4 linked regions of the Arabidopsis thaliana genome follow. The protein of the gene in region 1 binds, or shares a complex with, the protein of each later gene. Each region holds a gene or a part of one and is shown in the gene's direction. Other genes may lie near its edges. The genes, in order: AT1G69800, AT2G28060, KIN11 and AKINBETA1.

Evidence for each region.
Region 2: AT1G69800 (region 1) and AT2G28060 share a complex: the UniProt entries of both Arabidopsis thaliana proteins name them as parts of the probable heterotrimeric complex.
Region 3: AT1G69800 (region 1) and KIN11 share a complex: the UniProt entries of both Arabidopsis thaliana proteins name them as parts of the probable heterotrimeric complex.
Region 4: AT1G69800 (region 1) and AKINBETA1 share a complex: the UniProt entries of both Arabidopsis thaliana proteins name them as parts of the probable heterotrimeric complex.

Annotation. Positions count from the first base shown.
Region 1 is NC_003070.9:26,273,721-26,278,047, reverse strand, and holds AT1G69800 (Cystathionine beta-synthase (CBS) protein), read left to right. Parts: upstream 1-1,718; 5' UTR 1,719-1,722; coding exon 1,723-1,770; exon of another isoform or gene 1,771-1,903; coding exon 1,904-2,120; intron 2,121-2,234; coding exon 2,235-2,677; intron 2,678-2,756; coding exon 2,757-3,023; intron 3,024-3,095; coding exon 3,096-3,268; coding exon of another isoform or gene 3,269-3,329; exon of another isoform or gene 3,330-3,349; coding exon 3,350-3,632; 3' UTR 3,633-3,818; downstream 3,819-4,327. Other genes in the region: WRKY36 (WRKY DNA-binding protein 36), read left to right, coding at 1-60, 162-275, 364-810. UniProt on the Arabidopsis thaliana protein: Regulatory subunit of the probable trimeric SNF1-related protein kinase (SnRK) complex, which may play a role in a signal transduction cascade regulating gene expression and carbohydrate metabolism in higher plants.
Region 2 is NC_003071.7:11,949,350-11,954,095, reverse strand, and holds AT2G28060 (5'-AMP-activated protein kinase beta-2 subunit protein), read left to right. Parts: upstream 1-1,842; 5' UTR 1,843-2,053; exon of another isoform or gene 2,054-2,318; 5' UTR 2,319-2,400; intron 2,401-3,452; 5' UTR 3,453-3,477; coding exon 3,478-3,504; intron 3,505-3,604; coding exon 3,605-3,922; 3' UTR 3,923-4,225; downstream 4,226-4,746. UniProt on the Arabidopsis thaliana protein: Regulatory subunit of the probable trimeric SNF1-related protein kinase (SnRK) complex, which may play a role in a signal transduction cascade regulating gene expression and carbohydrate metabolism in higher plants.
Region 3 is NC_003074.8:11,128,076-11,134,013, reverse strand, and holds KIN11 (SNF1 kinase homolog 11), read left to right. Parts: upstream 1-1,908; 5' UTR 1,909-2,057; exon of another isoform or gene 2,058-2,205; intron 2,206-2,500; 5' UTR 2,501-2,503; coding exon 2,504-2,696; intron 2,697-2,825; coding exon 2,826-3,010; intron 3,011-3,104; coding exon 3,105-3,287; intron 3,288-3,382; coding exon 3,383-3,514; intron 3,515-3,611; coding exon 3,612-3,797; intron 3,798-3,872; coding exon 3,873-3,962; intron 3,963-4,047; coding exon 4,048-4,131; intron 4,132-4,214; coding exon 4,215-4,355; intron 4,356-4,491; coding exon 4,492-4,722; intron 4,723-5,007; coding exon 5,008-5,121; 3' UTR 5,122-5,394; downstream 5,395-5,938. UniProt on the Arabidopsis thaliana protein: Catalytic subunit of the probable trimeric SNF1-related protein kinase (SnRK) complex, a central regulator of cellular energy homeostasis, which, in response to seemingly unrelated darkness, sugar and stress conditions, activates energy-producing pathways and inhibits energy-consuming processes.
Region 4 is NC_003076.8:7,203,963-7,209,045, forward strand, and holds AKINBETA1 (5'-AMP-activated protein kinase beta-2 subunit protein), read left to right. Parts: upstream 1-1,704; 5' UTR 1,705-1,755; coding exon 1,756-1,953; intron 1,954-3,203; exon of another isoform or gene 3,204-3,261; coding exon 3,262-3,372; intron 3,373-3,460; coding exon 3,461-3,636; intron 3,637-3,717; coding exon 3,718-3,880; intron 3,881-3,962; coding exon 3,963-4,277; 3' UTR 4,278-4,534; downstream 4,535-5,083. UniProt on the Arabidopsis thaliana protein: Regulatory subunit of the probable trimeric SNF1-related protein kinase (SnRK) complex, which may play a role in a signal transduction cascade regulating gene expression and carbohydrate metabolism in higher plants.

The DNA of each region.
Region 1 (4,327 bases):
GAACAAACAGGTTTGAAGAAAACTAGGGTTTGTGTTAAAGCATCATGTGAAGACCCATCAGTACGTACCATCAAAACCATACATTACATATATGTGTTTATTTACCATTTCACATCTAATTTAATTATTTGATCATATACACGTTACATGAATATATATAGATAAACGACGGTTGCCAGTGGAGGAAATATGGTCAAAAGACTGCGAAAACCAATCCTCTCCCACGAGCCTATTACCGTTGCTCCATGTCGTCAAATTGTCCCGTTAGAAAACAGGTATAATACATTCTATAATTTCTCAATCCAAATATCTGTTTATTAACAATTGGTTTTGAGTAAAAACTTTTAAAACGAATGTCTATAGGTGCAAAGATGTGGAGAAGAAGAAACCTCCGCTTTTATGACAACGTACGAAGGAAACCATGACCATCCTCTCCCCATGGAAGCAAGCCACATGGCAGCTGGAACTTCCGCGGCTGCCTCCTTATTACAATCTGGCTCCTCCTCTTCCTCCTCCTCCACCTCAGCGAGTCTAAGCTATTTCTTCCCTTTTCACCACTTCTCTATCTCCACCACTAACTCGCACCCGACTGTAACATTGGACCTCACACGACCAAACTATCCCAATCAGTTACCAGACGACTACCCTCTATCGTCCTCCTCTTTCAGTCTCAACTTTTCCTCTCCAGATCCTCCACCTCCATCATCGCATGACCACACCTTGAACTTTAGTGGCTTGCGAACACAAGCTCCGTTGAGTACAGATTCATTATTGGCCCGTTATCGAACGAGACTTTCCGGACAGCAATAAGCCAGTAACTGTATCGGTATAGCTAGACACAAGTCTAGAAAGTAACTGATTTCCGTTTTCTTTGTCATTCATTTGTTTTTCAGCCTCTGAAAGAGAGATCTGGTTTTGGCATGATATGCAAAATGCTTATATACTTGTAGATATCCAAATGTTTAAATTAGTGGATTACCTATCATATCATGGATTATATATGTATATGAAGGTTTTGTAAATTAATGGTCTACACAAATTTGATACACCAAATATTTTTTTATGCTTATAAAAATTTTAAATACAATGTTAATTTTTTTTGTTGGTGAATTAAGTAAGTATGACTATGATGACACAATGATATCTAAAATGGAAGGTGGTTTTCATGCAGATTGACAAAATCTCCCTCTTTCACTTTTGCAAAATTGTTTGATTTTTACAAAATAAACTTTAGTTAGCATCACATAAAATAGTGGGTTATTTGACAAATTATCAACACAACGTATTATTATTTGAAATCACATACGTATTGTTTACTAATTTGATTATTATTATTTTTTGCTACAGACATTTACTAATTTGATGGTCAAAATTGTAGTCACCATTAAAATTATTTACATAAAAGAATTGATTATTTTACTTCCCTCAATTATCAAATATAAATTTGTGATGAATTTGACCGAAATGAAGATGTCTGAATTGTTTGAGCCACCTAAATGTTTAGATGGTCGATTCTTAAAAAGGAAAGAAAACAAAATGACCAAAAGAAAGAAAACGTATGAAACTATGATCCATCAGATATTACTTTTAAATCAATCTTGGGCTCAGGCCCGTTACTACCGTTTTCTATCTTAGAATTCGGCCCATCCACGTCAGCGACTCCGGTTATAACGCTGTTAAACTCTTTTGACACACGACCACTTATTATAACGTCACGTGTCAATGCACTTCATCAGGACGCGCGTAACCGCCAGAAAAGCGAAACCAAAGGTCCATCTCCGACACGTTGCTTATCCGACCACACTCACCACTGTTCTAAATTCTCTCTTTTTTTTTTCCTTAACCAAAAAAGCTCTCTTTTTTTCTTCTGGGTTTCATCGTTTCCAATCTAAAATCATCGTAGATTTGTTTGAAATTCTTCAAATTGAGCCGGTATCAAGACATGGCGGGAAGTGAAGCGGTAGAAGATAAGGAGATAAAATCGGCGGTTTCAAGCTGTGAAGCGTATTTCGAGAAAGTACAATCAAGGAAGAATCTACCCAAATCTCTTCAAGAAACCCTAAACTCTGCTTTCGCCGGAATCCCAGTCTCCTCCTTCCCTCAAGTCCCCGGCGGCAGAGGTAAAAATTAGAAAGATCCCATTTTTTTCGATTCCTCCAAATTTCCTGATTTCTCGTTTAAAGTTTGAGACTTGGCAATGGTTTAGATTCAATTAGTGTTTTGTTTGATCGTAGTGATAGAGATTCAAGCGGAAACACCTGTATCAGAAGCAGTAAAGATCTTATCAGATAGCAAGATTCTATCAGCTCCTGTGATTAACACAGATCACGAGAGTTCTTTAGATTGGAGAGAAAGATATTTAGGAATCATTGACTACTCTTCAATCATCTTATGGGTGCTAGAGAGTGCTGAACTCGCTGCAATCGCGTTGTCCGCTACGTCAGCAACTGCTGCTGGTGTTGGTGCTGGAGCTGTTGGAGCTCTTGGTGTTGCAGCGCTCGGGATGACCGGTCCGGTTGCTGCTGCGGGGCTAGCCGCAGCTGCGGTTGGAGCCGCGGTTGCTGGTGGTGTTGCAGCTGAACGTGGGATTGGAAAAGATGCTCCAACTGCTGCTGATAAGTTGGGGAAAGATTTCTATGAAGTTATTCTTCAAGAAGAGCCTTTTAAATCAACCACTGTAAGTTTTTTAACAGAACATTAAGTTATTTGTGTTGTGATGGTCCTGATTGATCATGGATATATGTTTATGTTGTCAGGTTAGAACAATACTTAAGTCGTTTAGATGGGCTCCTTTTCTTCCGGTTTCAACAGAGAGTTCGATGTTGAGTGTTATGTTGTTACTCTCGAAATATCGGTTAAGAAATGTGCCGGTTATTAAAACAGGAGAACCGGATATCAAGAACTACGTTACTCAATCTGCAGTTGTTCATGGTCTTGAAGGTTGCAAAGGTAGAGATTGGTTTGATCACATTTCCGCTCTCCCGATTTCTGATCTCGGCCTCCCGTTTATGTCACCCAATGAGGTAATAAAATAAACTTTAAGAAGTCATGACATTAGGCTCGTAAACCGGTGAAATTGAACATGTTGGTTTCAGGTTATTAGCATTGAGAGTGAGGAACTTATCCTTGAAGCATTTAAAAGGATGAGAGACAACAACATTGGTGGTCTCCCTGTAGTTGAAGGGTTGAATAAGAAGATTGTTGGTAACATTAGCATGAGAGACATTAGATATTTGCTTTTACAACCTGAAGTCTTTTCCAATTTCAGGTTTATTTTTACTCACTTGTTTCTCATTACAACTTCTCTGGTAACAATGATGACTGAATGATCTCTTTGTTGATGATAAAGACAACTCACGGTGAAGAGTTTCGCGACAAAGATTGCTACAGCGGGAGAGGAATACGGTTTAGCGATTCCTGCAATAACTTGTAGGCCTGATTCGACTTTAGGGAGTGTTATAAACAGTTTGGCTTCGAGGTCGGTGCATCGGGTTTATGTAGCGGCTGGAGATGAGAATGAGCTTTATGGGGTTATAACACTGAGGGATGTGATCTCTTGTTTCGTATCAGAACCTCCAAATTACTTTGAGAACTGTCTCGGTTTCTCGGTTAAGGAAATGCTTAACCGATGATCTCTTGTTTCTCAGCTTTTTTTTGGCTTTGTTGTTTGTTCTTTCTTGGTTTAGATTTCTGAAGTTGTTGTCTTTATATCTAATTTGTAACCAACCATTTTGAGTTTTAAAGTTCTATCATTAACGACATCTTAGGATTGAAAATATATATGTACTGTAATGATTGGATAAAAAATTTTCTGTTTTATGGATTGTTCAATTTCATATTTGTGTTTGTGTAAGTCTCGCCAATTCAATGCAGCTGATTAAGTTCAACTTACAGGGAAGCCAAACTAAGAGTTTAATCAGCTTGAAACAAATTGTATAACTAACAAATGAAATGACTCACTCATGAATGATAGATCAATAACCAACCACATTACTTATCTTCTTCATGAAAAGGCTCATAACTCACCTCAACCGTTGACTACACCGCTCGATAATTAATATAGCCTGTGGGTGCCAAGATGTCACCTAGAGTCCCCCCAAACACTTCAGTGTTCATCAGATTGATTGATCGATCGATAGATGATAACAAAGTATGAACAATGAAGCGTTTAAGGGAACTCAAGGGGACATTTGACTTTACATGTTATGTCTCTTTTGCAAATGCTTCTTCTCTTACTCAACTGACCTTAGCGACAACCCAAACTGCATATTTATAGTCTATAGATACTTGCCAATGGAATTGTTTTTAAAGGAGGGACCATAGATTC
Region 2 (4,746 bases), on another chromosome or scaffold:
AAAGGTTTAGAGTGATAATGACAATATGAACTCTTGTGTTGAACATTGGGTTTTAGTTTGAAGTAATTATTTTTGTTTTTTTGAGAGAGTTTGGAATGATAATGTGAGGGATATATAAGTGGGAGGAGATATACACTGGTTTAGGGTTAAAGTTCATAAATGGGCTCGTGAGTGATGGCTGGAAACATAAGAGAGAAGAGTAAGTAGGAGAGGACAGAGGCAAAATGGCTGGAAAATGGTATTAATCAAAATACGATTTTATATGTGTGATAGAGATACAAAAAAGTGTTGATGGGGTCGGGAAGATCAGAAAGAGGTAGGAAAGTCCGTGAGTTTCAGAAATTACAATCAAAGATCAAACATTTGTCTTTGCATTTATGAATTATGACACACTCACACGCAATTTTCTATATTTTCAAACTATTGTTTCTCTTGTTTTAAAATGGTTTGGAGATTGGACATGGATTTTTAAATATATATATTATTATGTACACGGTTGCATGGGTTTTCGGGACTATTGGATTTTGCTTTCTTTTGGATAACAAAAACACGATAAATATTTCATTAAACCATACAAATCTTCGATTGATAAATACATATACGAAAACATACCTAAGGAAAAGGAATCCATTGTTGTAGGATTTAGGTACCATGCGGTTTTCCAAACCATAGAGTAATCTCATATGTATTGAAATTTAAAAAAAAAAAAATACAAAGAAGAACTAAAAAACAGAAAAAAAAAACTAAGAAAATAGGGAAATTAAGTTGGAGTCTCTTTAATTTGTTTTTTTTTTGTCATCTAGAGTTATTTTAATGTTACCATGATGAAATACTTGATAAAATACAACATTAAACCGAAAGAAAACGAGATTTTTTCGAAGTTTAAGCCCTAAGTAAAAAAGTCATAAATAATACTACAAAGCAAGAGGAAAAAAGCAATAGTAGTTGAAATCCCACCAAAACTATAAGTCGCATAGTTCTTGAAGATTATTTGAAAGAAAAGTATCGCGGATGCCCACCACCAACCAACGATACACAAGTCCTCCTATTGAGATGAACAACAACCTTCAGATTTCAGAATTTTTAAGCTTTATAACCTGATAACCACTGCCCAAACTTTCTTTCGTATGTGGTGATGTCATAAATCGACAAGAAACAATAAACATTAAGATTATGTGCCTTCATTGGATCATGGACTGAAAATTAAGCTCTTCGATCAACTAAAACAAATTTATCATCATTGTTTTCATACTCGCTGCTAAGTTTGCAGGGGAGTATTAGAGTCCACAACTAAAACAAGTCCAAACCCAATGTGAGGTCTACATAAGTAGAATTTTAACAAGTTAGAAGATTCATATAAACAATTATGTAATGAGAACTATGATTGTAACTTTGAGAGAACTCTCTTCCTTCATCTTATGAAATATCAAATCTAGAAACATTGGCTTTTGGTGACAAACCTTAAGCTCCTTTACATTTTTCTCTTCTTTACATTTCAATAAAGCTCACTAGAACTATTGCATTTCTATCTTTATATAATAAGCTCAATGAACATCAATCTATATTTGTCTTAAAAATGTCAAATAAATAGAAGTTTCATGAAAGGACCAGACCTCGATCAAGTCTGAGAAGCATAGACAAGGAGTGAAGATTTAGTCTCGATAACACCATTCTTAAGAGACGAAAAAAGGTAAAAGATCGAATCGCATAGAATCAAAGAAATCTTCACATATTCAGAGGAAAAACAGCATGTCTAGCGAACACTAGAGTCGAACAAAAGCAAACCACCAATCACACATCCTTATTTGTCAATTATTTATTTTGGAAACTAAAAAGAAAGTTAATGAGTAAAATAGTTTCCATAAGAAGAAAAAAAATGTTTTCTGAGGAAAGAAAATGTTTTCGAAGGACAGCAAAGTTTAAGCCAATAAGCAAAACAAAAGCTGATGCTTGTCGCGACTGTGTTCGTCAAGAATCTCCAGGACGAACCCAATCTTCTCTCTCGAAGCTGTCTAAAATTAATCAATCAATCATTGAGCTAATCATATTCTAGGTTAAGTAAAAACAGAGTAAACCCTCTCTTTTTTTCTCTTTCTCTGCCTTTCTCAATTTCGTTTCGTCTCCTTCGTTCTTCCAATTTCCGTCTGATTTTATACGAAATTTGCATTGATATCGAAGTAAAATCGAATACCCATGATTCAAAATTTCATTTTTTATGCGACTGATTCCTCAATTTTGATTTTCCGGTGATTTCTAGGGTTTTCTATTAGGTGGGTGTTATTTATCATTTGATGGGTCATTTACTGATGATTTTGCAGGTTTTTGTTTTAAGGATTTGTGTAGACTTTCATTGCTGCTACGTTTTTGAAAGGGTAATTTGAAGGGCTTAGCTTCCCAAAGGTGAGAATTTTAACTCCAGTTTGGCTTCTGATATTGTGTTCATTGTTATGTATTTTTAAGCTTAGTAGTTGTGTTTTAAAGTTGTTCCAGTTTGGTTGATAAGTGTGTATGTGTGTTCATCAGATTGGGTGAGTACAGTTCTTTCATTGATATCTCCAGTTGATTTGTGGGAATTTTGTTCTGTGTGTATAGGATTTAGACCTCAAATATTGGATTCTCTTTAAGCATTTAAGTGCCTGGTTTCTTCATCATCACTTGATAGGAGGACTTTACAAATTTTATTCTGAACATGGAATTTGGTTAGCCGAATAACTTCGTGGGGATTAGTTTCTCGTGCAAGGAAATTCTTCATGGTTCTGTCTTGGAAGTGTTTGGAATCTTGAAGCTTGATAGATTTTCGATGTAGGCATGATGCGGTTTTCTTATAGGTTTAAAGGGTCTTTAGCTGAGATATGGTTCCTATGGTGTGTAATAGGTTTAAAGGGTCTTTAGATGAGATAAAACTGTGCAAAGAGTTCATATAATAAATGGTTAAATCCTATATATTATCTGTTCAGTGTACATAGAGAAGAATTAGCTGTGGAATTTGGATGTACATGATAATAACAATGTAGTTTATGTCTTCCAACTTGTCTCTGTTGTGATAATGATCAATGTGTTTCTATTCTAACTCCTGTGGTCCATTGATTTTTGAATCCTTTGTCCACCTTAGTACTTTCTTCGAAGAAGGCATGGGAAAATATGATTCTCTGGTCCAACTTTCTTAAGACTGTCTGCATCTTTGGATCCTTAGATTTGTCTACGGGATTATGAATTATTTGACTTTTGATACCGATTAGACAAAAGTCTTACATTTCACACAAATAAGAGTTTGCATCATTGTAGAGAACAACATTGTTTTCATTTCTGCTTCAGTGTTTTTGAGTTGAAATGTAAACACCTCTTTCTCTTAGATTAGTTTGAATGGCACTTGAGCTGGTGTGACCTACATTCATTTTGATTGTTTACTTTGCATGCTATTGCGGTTTAGTTATGATTATATTTTGTTTCAGGCACTAGGTGGCAATCTTATCCAAGATGAACAGTCAAAATCCTGATGATCATGTAAGCCAGCTAAAACACCTTTTTGCCTTCAACCAACTAATCGAGTAATTTCCAGTCTCCCGCTCGATTTTTCAATCTTTTATCGTTTTCTTAAACATAGGAGGACACAACGGTTGTGGGATTTGAAGTACCTGTATCACCGGTTTCAAGTTACAACAATGTGTATTCCTCAACCGAAGATGAGACAAGAGATCCTCCAGCAGTACCGCCACACCTTCAACACTCTCTATTAGGCAATCAGGGTAGCATGGAACTGGCTTATGCGCCACAGAATGTTGTCCTGAACCACCTCTATATCGAGAACCGAGACGCCCCAAGATCTGTTGTAGCACTCGGTTTCTCGCATCGGTTCAGGACTAAGTTTGTCACTGTGGTGATATACAAGCCTGTCCAAAGAAGAGGGAGCGCCAATGTTTGAATAATGATACCTCTTTTTAAGTAGTGTTGGGAATTTGCTTCTTTATGGATTGAATTTGGTATACAAAACCATCTGGTCCGTACTGAATTTTATTCTTCTCTTACAGATTCGATTTAGACGGTTTCTAGGTACATTCGATTGAAATCATCTTCTTGTTCGGAGTTTATATAAAATCTCCATGCATTTTTATTTTTTAGGCCCAAAAAAGCTGATAGACGTGGGCATTGTTTGTTTGTAATAACTCCCTTAGATTGGGTTTAGTTAAACGAGCCCAAATATCGCTAATGAAGTTCTTTACTTGCTCATATGTAGTGTTACCATAAATTATTTAAATCTTTCGTAGCTCCAAAAAGGAAAAAAAAAAAAAAAAATCTTAATCAAAACTTTCTATGTCCGAGATAAGTTACCAAACTAATGCTCTAAAACTGGATTGGATCGTCGGATCAATGCATTAGTCTAAAACTGGATTGGATCGTCGGATCATTGCATTAGTTCGGTTTGAATGTAGATCACTTATACTCTCGTTGTTTTTAATTAAGTGTAGTTTTAAGGTTTTTTATTTTTTTTTAATATAAGTGTTGTTTTCACTTTTCTATGCAAACATTAAATGTATTTAATAATTTTTAATTAATTATATTTTTTTACTGGTTGGATTAGTTGTAATTAATGATGTTTTTATAGGAAAAAGATAAATTAAATAAAATTTGTATGTTTTCTTAATTTGTGTGCAAAAACTTTAAACTACAAATATTCAGTAACAGAGGGAGTATATAAAAACAAAGTTGGTTTGTGCATGGGAGCTTATTTGCACAAAATTGATTAAA
Region 3 (5,938 bases), on another chromosome or scaffold:
GCTCAAAAACAAAAACTATGGTATTTTATTGGCAGGAAATTTATTTGGAATATTTTAGGCAAAAAACAATTTCCAAATAAGGGTAAAATAGTCATTAAAAATTTACTGAAAGTAGAAATGAAAATGTCAAATATGAAAGGGTATAACTGAAAAAGGTAGTGTGAAAAGGGCATTCTCAGCAATTATTCTACATTTGAACTATCTATTTTATCTTAATAAACTGTTTTAATTCTATAGACTACATCCATCTTATTGATGATATTTAAATTTTAAATAATAATTCATATACTTTTCAGTATTTAATTTAGTATTTCCTTAAACCAAATTTCAATCTTACATATTCAATTTTGCAATACAATTTAAATATCTATTTTATTATATAAAAATACAATTTAATTCGATTCCATACAATTCATATACAATTTGATTTTGCAATACAAATACAATTTTATTCTATACACTCCATCTTATTGTGTTAGTTTTCCTTCTTAGTTAAGAAAATTTTAAGTTAAATTTTTCGATATAGAAATATAAATTGGTATATGTATTTGTTTTTGTTAAATTTCCTATTTCTTTTAGAAAAAATATTTAAAAAATCTCGATTTTGCAATACAATTTAAATATCTATTTTATTATATAAAAATACAATTTAATTCGATTCCATACAATTCATATACAATTTGATTTTGCAATACAAATATAATTTTATTCTATACACTCCATCTTATTGTGTTAGTTTTCCTTCTTAGTTAAGAAAATTTTAAGTTAAATTTTTTAGATATAGAAATATAAATTGGTGTATGTATTTTTATTGGTTAAATTTCCTATTTCTTTTAGAAAAAATATTTAAAAAATCTCGATTATGCAATACAATTTAAATATCTATTTTATTATAATACAAATACAATTAAATTTGATTGTATACATTTCAAATACAATTCGATTTTGCAATACAAATACAATTTAATTCTATACACTCCATCTTATTGTTAGTTTCCCTTCTTAGTTAAGTAAACTATAACTTATTTTTTTTAGATATAGACATATAAATTAGTATATGTAAATATTTGTTTTTGTTAAATTGCCTATTTCTTTTAGGAAAAAAGTAAAAAAAAATCCGACACAATATCAACATATGAACGATTGACTTGTTACGTGTCACGATCAGTTGAGTTATTAACTTTAAAAACTCTACTTTATATAATAAAATGCGTCTGAAACTTCTTAATTTATCCGCTTTATCATTAGCACGCTTTTATATATAGAAAACTAGATTTTAACCCGCGGTATACCGCGGAGACAATTTATTTTTTAAAGTTACTATATATAAAAATTTGCAAATTATATTTATCTATAAAATATTTTTATTTTATAGTTTACGATTGTTATTAAGTAACGTCCTGTCAAACCCGTCCCGCCAATCCGTCCCGTAAAAAAAATTCACTGATTTTATTTATGATATGTTTATGAATCATTGTCTAAATATTTTTTAATTTTGTAGTAATTAAATGCTATCTAATATCTCTGCGGTTTGATGATTATAATCGAATTATTATAGTCATGTAGAAAAACAATATCAAAAATGATAATTTTGTAGTAATTAAATGATATTAAATATTTCGGAAGTTTTATTTTAGTAACTAATCGTGTAGTTAATGTGGAAAGATTTTGGGAAGATTGTCAAATATTTAATTTAAAGATTTTCTTTCTAATTATCAAAAACAATTATTAAATGCGAGTGGCAGCCACTGTAAATAAACTCCAACTCTAGGATTTATTTCACAAAGTGGCTGCAAAAATGTATATATAGATCATAAAAACAGTAATATAAAAATTTTAAACCTTAAAAAACTAGTTTTTCAAACAAAAACAGAAAATGGGCAAAAAGGCCCTAATTTAAGGGCTTGCAAATGGCAATAAATGTTTATCTGGGTTTTGTGGTTTCTTGATTCGTCATTACCAATTTTCACCATGAAGACTTAAAAAAACCTGACTCAGCTCTGCGTCACCTACGAGTTGGAAATCTGACTTCCCCAAGAATTTCTTCAGATTACATCGTAATTTACAATTCTGCCCTATTTATACCCATCAATCTGATTCTCCTTGTTTCTGTATATTTCTTCGCTCTTTGTTTGAACAATTTATCTGGGTTTTTGATTCTCGGATCTACTCCAAGACGGTTTTCGAAATTAACAAGCTTTTCAGGTAAATTGACTTTTTTTTCTTTGTAAAGGTTTATCAATTTTGTCTTCTAAACTCAAACTTGTGAGTCTCTTGTTTGGTTTCAGACCAAAACCACCATTACAAAGTAGTTATGTCGGTGGTTCTTGTCAGTTTTCTTACAAGCTTATGGTTGGTTTAGATTAGATTTGATGAAATGAAAATTGAGTTGAAGAATGTTTTTTTTTATTTGAGCAAGTTAATATGTTTACTGATGTTTTTCTATAGAGAAGTTGCTAAGAGAGCTTACTTATGAGTTTGATGTTGAATTGGGACACAGGAAATGGATCATTCATCAAATAGATTTGGCAATAATGGAGTGGAATCGATTTTACCGAATTACAAGCTTGGTAAAACTCTTGGAATTGGGTCTTTTGGGAAGGTGAAAATAGCAGAGCATGTTGTCACAGGGCATAAGGTTGCTATCAAAATCCTTAATCGTCGTAAGATCAAGAACATGGAGATGGAAGAGAAAGGTATATACAAGCACCGTTACTTTTAGCTTTAGTGGTTTCTAGAACAAAAGCTTTGATAATCAAATGTTTCTGCTTATTAGGTTTTAGTATGTATTTTTATCTTAATGTATGTATATTTCTTCTTTACAGTGAGGAGGGAGATTAAGATTCTACGGTTGTTTATGCATCCTCATATTATTCGGCAGTATGAGGTAATAGAGACCACGAGTGACATTTATGTTGTGATGGAGTATGTCAAGTCTGGAGAGCTCTTTGATTATATTGTTGAGAAAGGCAGATTACAAGAAGATGAGGCTCGTAACTTTTTCCAGCAGGTTTGTTTTCTCTTTACCATAACCAGTGTGTTTGTAGCGTATCATGTCATCTTTGAGTTTGAGTGTTGTTTGTGTTTGACTCATATCCGAATAGATAATATCTGGTGTAGAGTACTGCCATCGTAATATGGTTGTCCATAGAGACCTGAAGCCTGAGAATTTACTATTGGATTCGAGGTGTAATATTAAGATTGCAGACTTTGGGTTGAGTAATGTTATGCGGGATGGTCATTTTCTAAAGACGAGTTGTGGAAGCCCCAACTACGCTGCTCCCGAGGTATATAGTTTAGTAAAGTTACTGAATTGTTTTTCACCTATGTGACTATGTCTCGTTTCTCTTATGAGTGTCTTATCTCTTACTTCTTGTTGTAGGTTATATCAGGTAAATTATATGCTGGACCTGAAGTAGATGTATGGAGTTGCGGAGTTATATTGTACGCTCTATTATGCGGTACTCTTCCTTTTGATGATGAAAACATTCCCAACCTTTTCAAGAAAATTAAGGTACTGTACGTTATACTTTGATTCAGCTAAAAGACTCTTCTTAAATGGATTCATATGTATGTGAAGTAACTTATCAAGGTGTTTTTTTTCTCTTTAGGGTGGGATTTACACTCTTCCAAGTCATTTATCATCTGAGGCTAGAGACCTGATCCCAAGGATGCTTATAGTTGACCCGGTGAAACGAATCACCATTCCTGAGATCCGTCAACACCGTTGGTTCCAGACTCATCTCCCTCGTTATCTTGCTGTCTCTCCACCGGATACAGTAGAGCAGGCTAAAAAGGTTGGTTTCAGTGCCATTTGGAGATTAATAGAGTTCACTTGCTGTGATAGTAACAATATCTCTTATGTTTTGCAGATCAATGAGGAGATAGTTCAAGAAGTGGTTAACATGGGATTTGATAGAAACCAGGTTTTGGAATCTCTACGCAACAGAACACAAAACGATGTATGTAGTTTCCTGTCTCTAATGCTTTTAATCCCCGAAACTAGTTTCCAATAGTCACTGAAATGCCATTTGCTCCTTGTACCAGGCTACTGTTACATACTACCTGTTATTGGATAACCGGTTCCGTGTTCCAAGTGGCTATCTAGAATCCGAGTTTCAGGAGACAACAGTATGTGTTTTTCTTTCCTCTCAGTAGATAGCTTTCCAACATTTTTGACTAACATGTTCACCTTTTCAACGTTACTCATCTAGGACAGTGGTTCCAATCCTATGCGCACACCTGAAGCGGGCGCTTCACCTGTAGGCCACTGGATTCCTGCACATGTGGATCACTACGGGTTGGGAGCAAGATCACAAGTCCCTGTTGATCGAAAATGGGCTCTTGGACTTCAGGTTTGTTCCTGATTACTGATTCTTTTTGTTCCTCACCATAAAGTCTTCTGAATGCAACACACAATCAGATATCTGTACTCTTTGCCTCTACATAGCCAAATCGATAATCATTCTGTTACCTTGTTGTTTTGAACAGTCTCATGCGCATCCTCGTGAAATCATGAATGAAGTTTTGAAAGCTCTTCAAGAACTCAATGTGTGTTGGAAGAAGATTGGTCACTACAACATGAAATGTCGATGGGTTCCTGGTTTAGCTGATGGTCAGAATACTATGGTCAACAATCAGCTGCACTTCAGAGATGAATCCAGCATCATTGAGGATGACTGTGCCATGACTTCACCCACTGTCATCAAATTTGAACTTCAGGTAACTATAAACTCACACATACATTTGTATCAACAACATTCCTTGGAGAAAATAAACAACTGCCTAGTTCGGTTTGTTAGGGATATGAATCGATCAACGGGGTTTACATTCGTAGAATTGTGCTGGAGCAAAGACTAAGATCCTGATGTTGTTTTATCCCACTAGTAGTAGTTCAACAAAACTAAACCAGCTAGGACATAGACTAAAACCTTCTTTAGAACTTGAACCAACTGTTTTCGAAGAACAATTATACACTTTCTGAGTTCACTTTTGATTTTGAAACAGCTATACAAAGCCCGGGAAGAGAAGTACTTGCTGGATATACAGAGAGTTAACGGTCCGCAGTTTCTCTTCTTGGATCTATGCGCCGCCTTTCTTACAGAGCTTCGTGTGATCTGAATGTTTTAACCATTTGTTGAGACATTTTTTTTCTTTCATGTTCAATGGTTTGTAATAGTAGAGAACATAATATAATATGTGGGTGCAGTGTTTACTTTGCCGGGTTACTTTTATATACCTGGATTCTAAGTTAAACTCTACTGTAATAGTAACTATCCTTTCTTCTTTTTGATGGTTTTTAAGGTTTGATCATGTGTACATAACTTAGCTGTTTCATTCTAACTATTGTATTTCTCCTCTGATGCCAATTTTATACAACGTTTATATCAGACACATTATACATGTCATACCTAAAAACATTGCACGCAGAGTCCATCAAAATTCCATTTCACAAAATTCGGCTACCCAACTTAAGTCCTTAGCATCAATACAAGATGTGGAACACGATATTAATACAGAACATTGGAGAGCTACTTTGTGTGGACAATGCTTCTTGCAAAAGGAGTAAATAGGTCGCCGTCGGACAATAATATATCGGGCTTCAAGGATAAGTCCACCCCAAACATACATTGAATGTGTAGGGTAACACTACAGTACTCATCACACATAAAACCGCTCCTTCGGATTTATTTTGCTGATTTTTCATCATCAGTCGGTTCGGACCGCAAACTTCACACCAATACATCGTTGTACTTATCTCATCCCCATAAGAAAGAGTGAACATATGTTTATCATGCTTATACATTACCTTATGAGGTAATGTAGCACATTTGAAACACAAAGAAAAGTAGTCACACTCAATGCAATTGAATGTTTCCTTTCTGGAATAATGTCCTAGCTCTTTGCAAACTGAAAAATGTCTTCGCTTCTCTCCCGG
Region 4 (5,083 bases), on another chromosome or scaffold:
TGGAGAAGACGCAATGTGAGGAAGAGAGGTTGAAGAAGGAGGCAAGTGTGTGTGTGTGTTTTGGTGGCGACACTCTTTAAGGGAGGAATAAGCGAGGATGAAACAAACAGTGAAACGTATAACCCCAAAAACCCTAGTTACTTTCCTCTTTTTTTATATGTATATGTTTATTTTATATAGCAATTTCCTATTTTTCCTATTTGAAATTTGACAAAAAATAAGAATAATATTCATGATTTGTTTAATTACTAGTATTACAAATATCCTCTAATCTGGTCTTTATCCTTCGTAATTAAAAACATTCAATTTATTTCTTTTTAATTTTTGTTTTGAGAAAACATCATTTATGTAGGGTTTTAAAAAAATTTAAATTAACTTTATAAACTTATTTTCGTTAGACCTATTTATAACGCGTTTATTTATTAACCTTAGTTTATGTCCTTAAATAGATGTGTTAGAATTTGTGTAGCAATTCTAAGTTATTTTGTACTTTTAATGTGATCTAACAAACTTTTGTTACAACTAAGGATTAGTAGTTGGTAAAAGAGAACGAAGATAACTAGTTATCGCTCTTATAATCTCTTTATTGTTTTATTGTTTAATTCGTTTAAGTTATTTAATTATAATATTTAGTCTTTTAAAAATACGTGAAAAATTATCTGAATTGTTAATATACATATAATAATTTTTATATATATGATGGATATTAACGATGATTTCTGAGGTGAAAACTATTATCTTAATTTTTTTTTTGGGTGAGGCTATTATCTTAATTCTTCAATATGTGAACCTACGAAGAATAAAGTAATTGATGAAGATTTGAATGAATTTTTGTCTCTGAAAATGACATTTGAAGGTGTCTGTGGAAGATTTAGTGTCCACTAGATAAGATTTCTAAACAAAAGGTCAATATATTGATGAAAATTGAAGTGATTGAAATCAAGTTTTTCCAATGATAGTACACTCGTTTGAAGAAAATATGAGGTTGAATCAAAACCTTAGTTCAAAGTAAATGATAAAGCAAAAGCTGAAATCTTACAATTTGAAAGTGACCAATATACAATGCGAGAAAGCAAAAGAAAAAACAATGACTCAACCTATAAGGAAAGTGCATGACAATCACTCATGGCTTAGTGAATAGTGACCATCGCCTTTTACAAGTTTACATTGGCTTTGAAACCCTCCAAACTTTTCGAAACAATCTTTCGACCAATAACTAGTTTACGGGACTAACCAATACAAATCTTGGAAAATGATGATTCTTTGACCATCTCTATTCTAACCCCACCTATTGGAGTTTAAGGCCTTTTCATCGTCACGATACGCATACTATGATCACTGGCTCTAGCAAGATGTTAAGGCACACAAATCGGTGGCAAGGAGGTGACTGGCCCTTGTGTCATTATCCTTCTCAAAGGCATTGAACCAACTTTTTATTCACATTTGTTTATTATATACTAAAAGAAATAAACAAAAAAAAAGTGGATAATTATAAACTTTTGGACGCCAAGTCACTCGTTTATCCATTTGGTACGGATTTTAATGATATCTCTCTCTCAAGAGCCCCTTTTATGCAAAATCTCTTTTTCGCTACCAATGGCATTATTCGTAATTAACTTCTAACTTGAGGGGCGTTTCATTATCTCCTCCTCGTCGTCCTCCCTCCATTTTTCTTCACGTCTGGTTTTCTCTCTCTTTTCCTCTATCTCTCTCCTCTCTTTGTCTCTCTCGCTTCTGTGATTTGGGCTTTTTCAGATGGGAAATGCGAACGGCAAAGACGAAGACGCCGCCGCCGGTAGCGGTGGTGCAGATGTTACCTCGTCCTCGGCGAGATCTAATGGCGGCGATCCTTCTGCACGCAGTCGTCACCGTCGTCCTTCTTCAGACTCTATGAGCAGTTCTCCTCCCGGAAGTCCTGCTCGATCTCCATCTCCTTTCTTATTCGCTCCTCAGGTTCCCTCTCTCGAATATCTCTCTCTGTTTAATCGTTGAATTTGATTTCTGGTTTTGAATTGAATCGATTGAAACATTCGCCCAAAGAGATAATAGTAAGAGAATCTTTTTGATTTGTTTCGTTGAGTAAGAGAATGTTCGTTCACTTGACTTTTCATTTGTTTCACTAATTGTGAGACACTTTCTTCATTTAGATAGGATCCAAGTACAAAATCTCCAGCCTTTTTTTTATGAGTGAACTCTACTTGTTCACTTGATTTGTGTTATCCTGTTGGTTCTTGAGAATTTGTAATGTAGATTCTTGTTCTTAAAGCTTTTTTCTGAGTTGGGTTTAGAGATTCTGTACTAGAGAATCTCTTTTATTTTTGTGTTATCTTGGTTCAGGTATCTTGAAATAATGCATAATGTGGAAAAGTTTCTACCTTTCTTTAAGATGTTGTTTTGGTTTCCTAGCTATTTTTTCTTTATTTTCCAGCCGGTCTCTAGTCATTTACTGGTCGCTCATGATTCTTGATGTCCCTTAGTGAGTCTTTGTGTAATTTATCTTTGTTTCATTGTGAAGAGGGCAACTTTGCAGACTAAGTACGTTTGTGAATGAAATCTTTTGTATAAAGGAATTAGACTTGACTTGGTTTTGTTTGGTTCTTGAGAAGTCAAAAACTCTGGTAAATGACAAGGTAGCTAGTTACTCTTCCTTAGTTTTGGTGGAGAGAGAGAGAGAGGCTTAGATCACCTTATTGCTATGTCTTTTCCTTTTGGTGAGTTAAAATCTTGTTAATCATACTAGAGAATCTGCTTTAGAGAAGGTCTTATTTGTCTTCTGATTATGCCTCCATGCCTGGTGTGGAAAAGCGTATGGCAGTCAAATAGGATGATTATTGTCTCTCTAGGTTTTTATGCTGATTTTGACTTTCCTGCTGCTCTCTGGTCATTTACCAGTTACTGATACTGTTCTGTTGATTTGCATGTCGCATTGTGAGTCTTTTGTGTAATGTCTTTTGCTTTCATTTTTAAGAGGAGGGAGGGCAAGCTTGTTCTTTTCTTCGCCCTTTTTGAATTTAAACACGCAGAGCTTTTACTTGAACGAATTACAGATTTTGGATGTTTCGTCATTCTTCTCATTGTTCTTAATATGTGAATAATTCATAAGATAAGTGAAGGACAACCTTCTAAAATTGACCTTGTTATCAGGTTTTTGTGGGAATAGTGAAATATCTTTTGCTAATAAGGTCTTGTCTGTACTCTGTATGCGAGTAAATTTCTGAGTCTACTGTTGCTATATTCATTTTCGACTCCTTTTCTTTTCAGCCCACATTGTTATTCCACGTTACATCTTACAACATTTGCTCACCTATGCGTCACCTCTTCCATTGTTTAGGCTTAACATGTGTACCTAATGGCTGCATTTCGTGTCGGATGGTAGATATAATGTTTTGACATTCGCAAATTCTTCTTGCACATTGGTTTGTAAGATCTCACGGCTCAGTGTTTATGTGGATATTCTCAGGTTCCCGTGGCTCCATTGCAGAGAGCAAACGCCCCTCCTCCTAATAACATCCAATGGAACCAATCACAGAGAGTTTTTGATAATCCCCCAGAGCAAGGAATCCCTACCATCATTACATGGAACCAAGGAGGTAATGATGTGGCGGTGGAAGGATCATGGGACAATTGGAGATCAAGGTATAATTGACTTTGTTTCTCGTGGACCCTCTCTCGAGATTTCGTGATATATGTTAAAAACAATATGTTTACATTCACCAGGAAGAAGCTGCAGAAATCAGGGAAAGACCACTCGATTCTCTTTGTCCTTCCATCTGGCATATACCACTACAAGGTGATTGTGGACGGTGAATCCAAATACATCCCAGATTTACCCTTTGTAGCAGACGAAGTTGGCAATGTCTGTAACATTCTCGATGTTCATGTAAGTTACTTTCCCACCTCTTTTTTTCTCATGTTAAATCTATCAATCAGCTTAACAGTATCTGCAATCATTATGCATGCAGAACTTTGTGCCAGAAAACCCAGAAAGCATAGTGGAGTTTGAGGCGCCACCATCACCTGATCATAGCTACGGTCAAACCCTACCAGCCGCAGAAGATTACGCGAAAGAGCCACTGGCGGTGCCACCTCAGCTTCATCTAACACTTCTTGGCACTACTGAAGAGACAGCCATAGCCACAAAGCCTCAACATGTGGTGCTTAACCATGTGTTCATAGAGCAAGGATGGACTCCTCAATCCATAGTAGCTTTGGGTTTAACCCACAGGTTCGAGTCTAAGTACATAACTGTTGTCCTCTACAAACCGCTCACACGGTAACCCTAAAAATTCAGTGCCACATTGTTCTCTCTCTTTCTTTCTTTTTCATCTCTCAATTATGTGAAAACATGTTCTTTGTTCATAGTGACTAGTGAGTGCCCAACATTTGAGTTTATTAACCTCTTTCTTACCTGGTTTGTGGTGCTTGTGTACAAAGCTTCTCTCATTGTAACGATTGTTGTTTTATTTTCTGCAAAAACTGTAAAATACATTCGCTAATAATGGCTATAACAAGCTTATCTGCTAGCAACCAAACACATAAATCCTGTTTTTTTTCTTCTTCTGACAAAACGTTTGCGAAAGTGACAAATTTTTGAAAATAATCTTTCTTTTTGGTATTGGAAAAGGCTAACCAGTTTGAAAGTGTACTCATAATAAATCCACGTCGTCTATTTGATTGAAAATTTTAATTTGGATAAGAAAAAGATAAAAGAGAAATAAGGTGAGAAAAAGTGAGCCACACGATGGAGTATGGCGGAAGAAGCATCGACCGAGTAATTGAGACGCTCTGTTTCCAATTACTACTCTCTCGAGCTCCTCCGCTCTGCATTGTCGCCGAGAGTTCCTTTCTTGTCCGACAAACTACTTCTTCTCCTTCGATAAGCCAATTCTGCGCCATAGATTTTTGAAATCTACTGCCGGAAAGGCTGCATGCGATTTCAACTCCCTTTTCCCGGGACAATTCGCAGGTGTGTATTCCTGAAGCTCCGTTGTACTATACTACTATTCCATGTTTCACTTCGAACGAAGAATCAATCATTCGGTAAATTGGATAATTTGGTCACTTGTTCATGACCTGTACATAA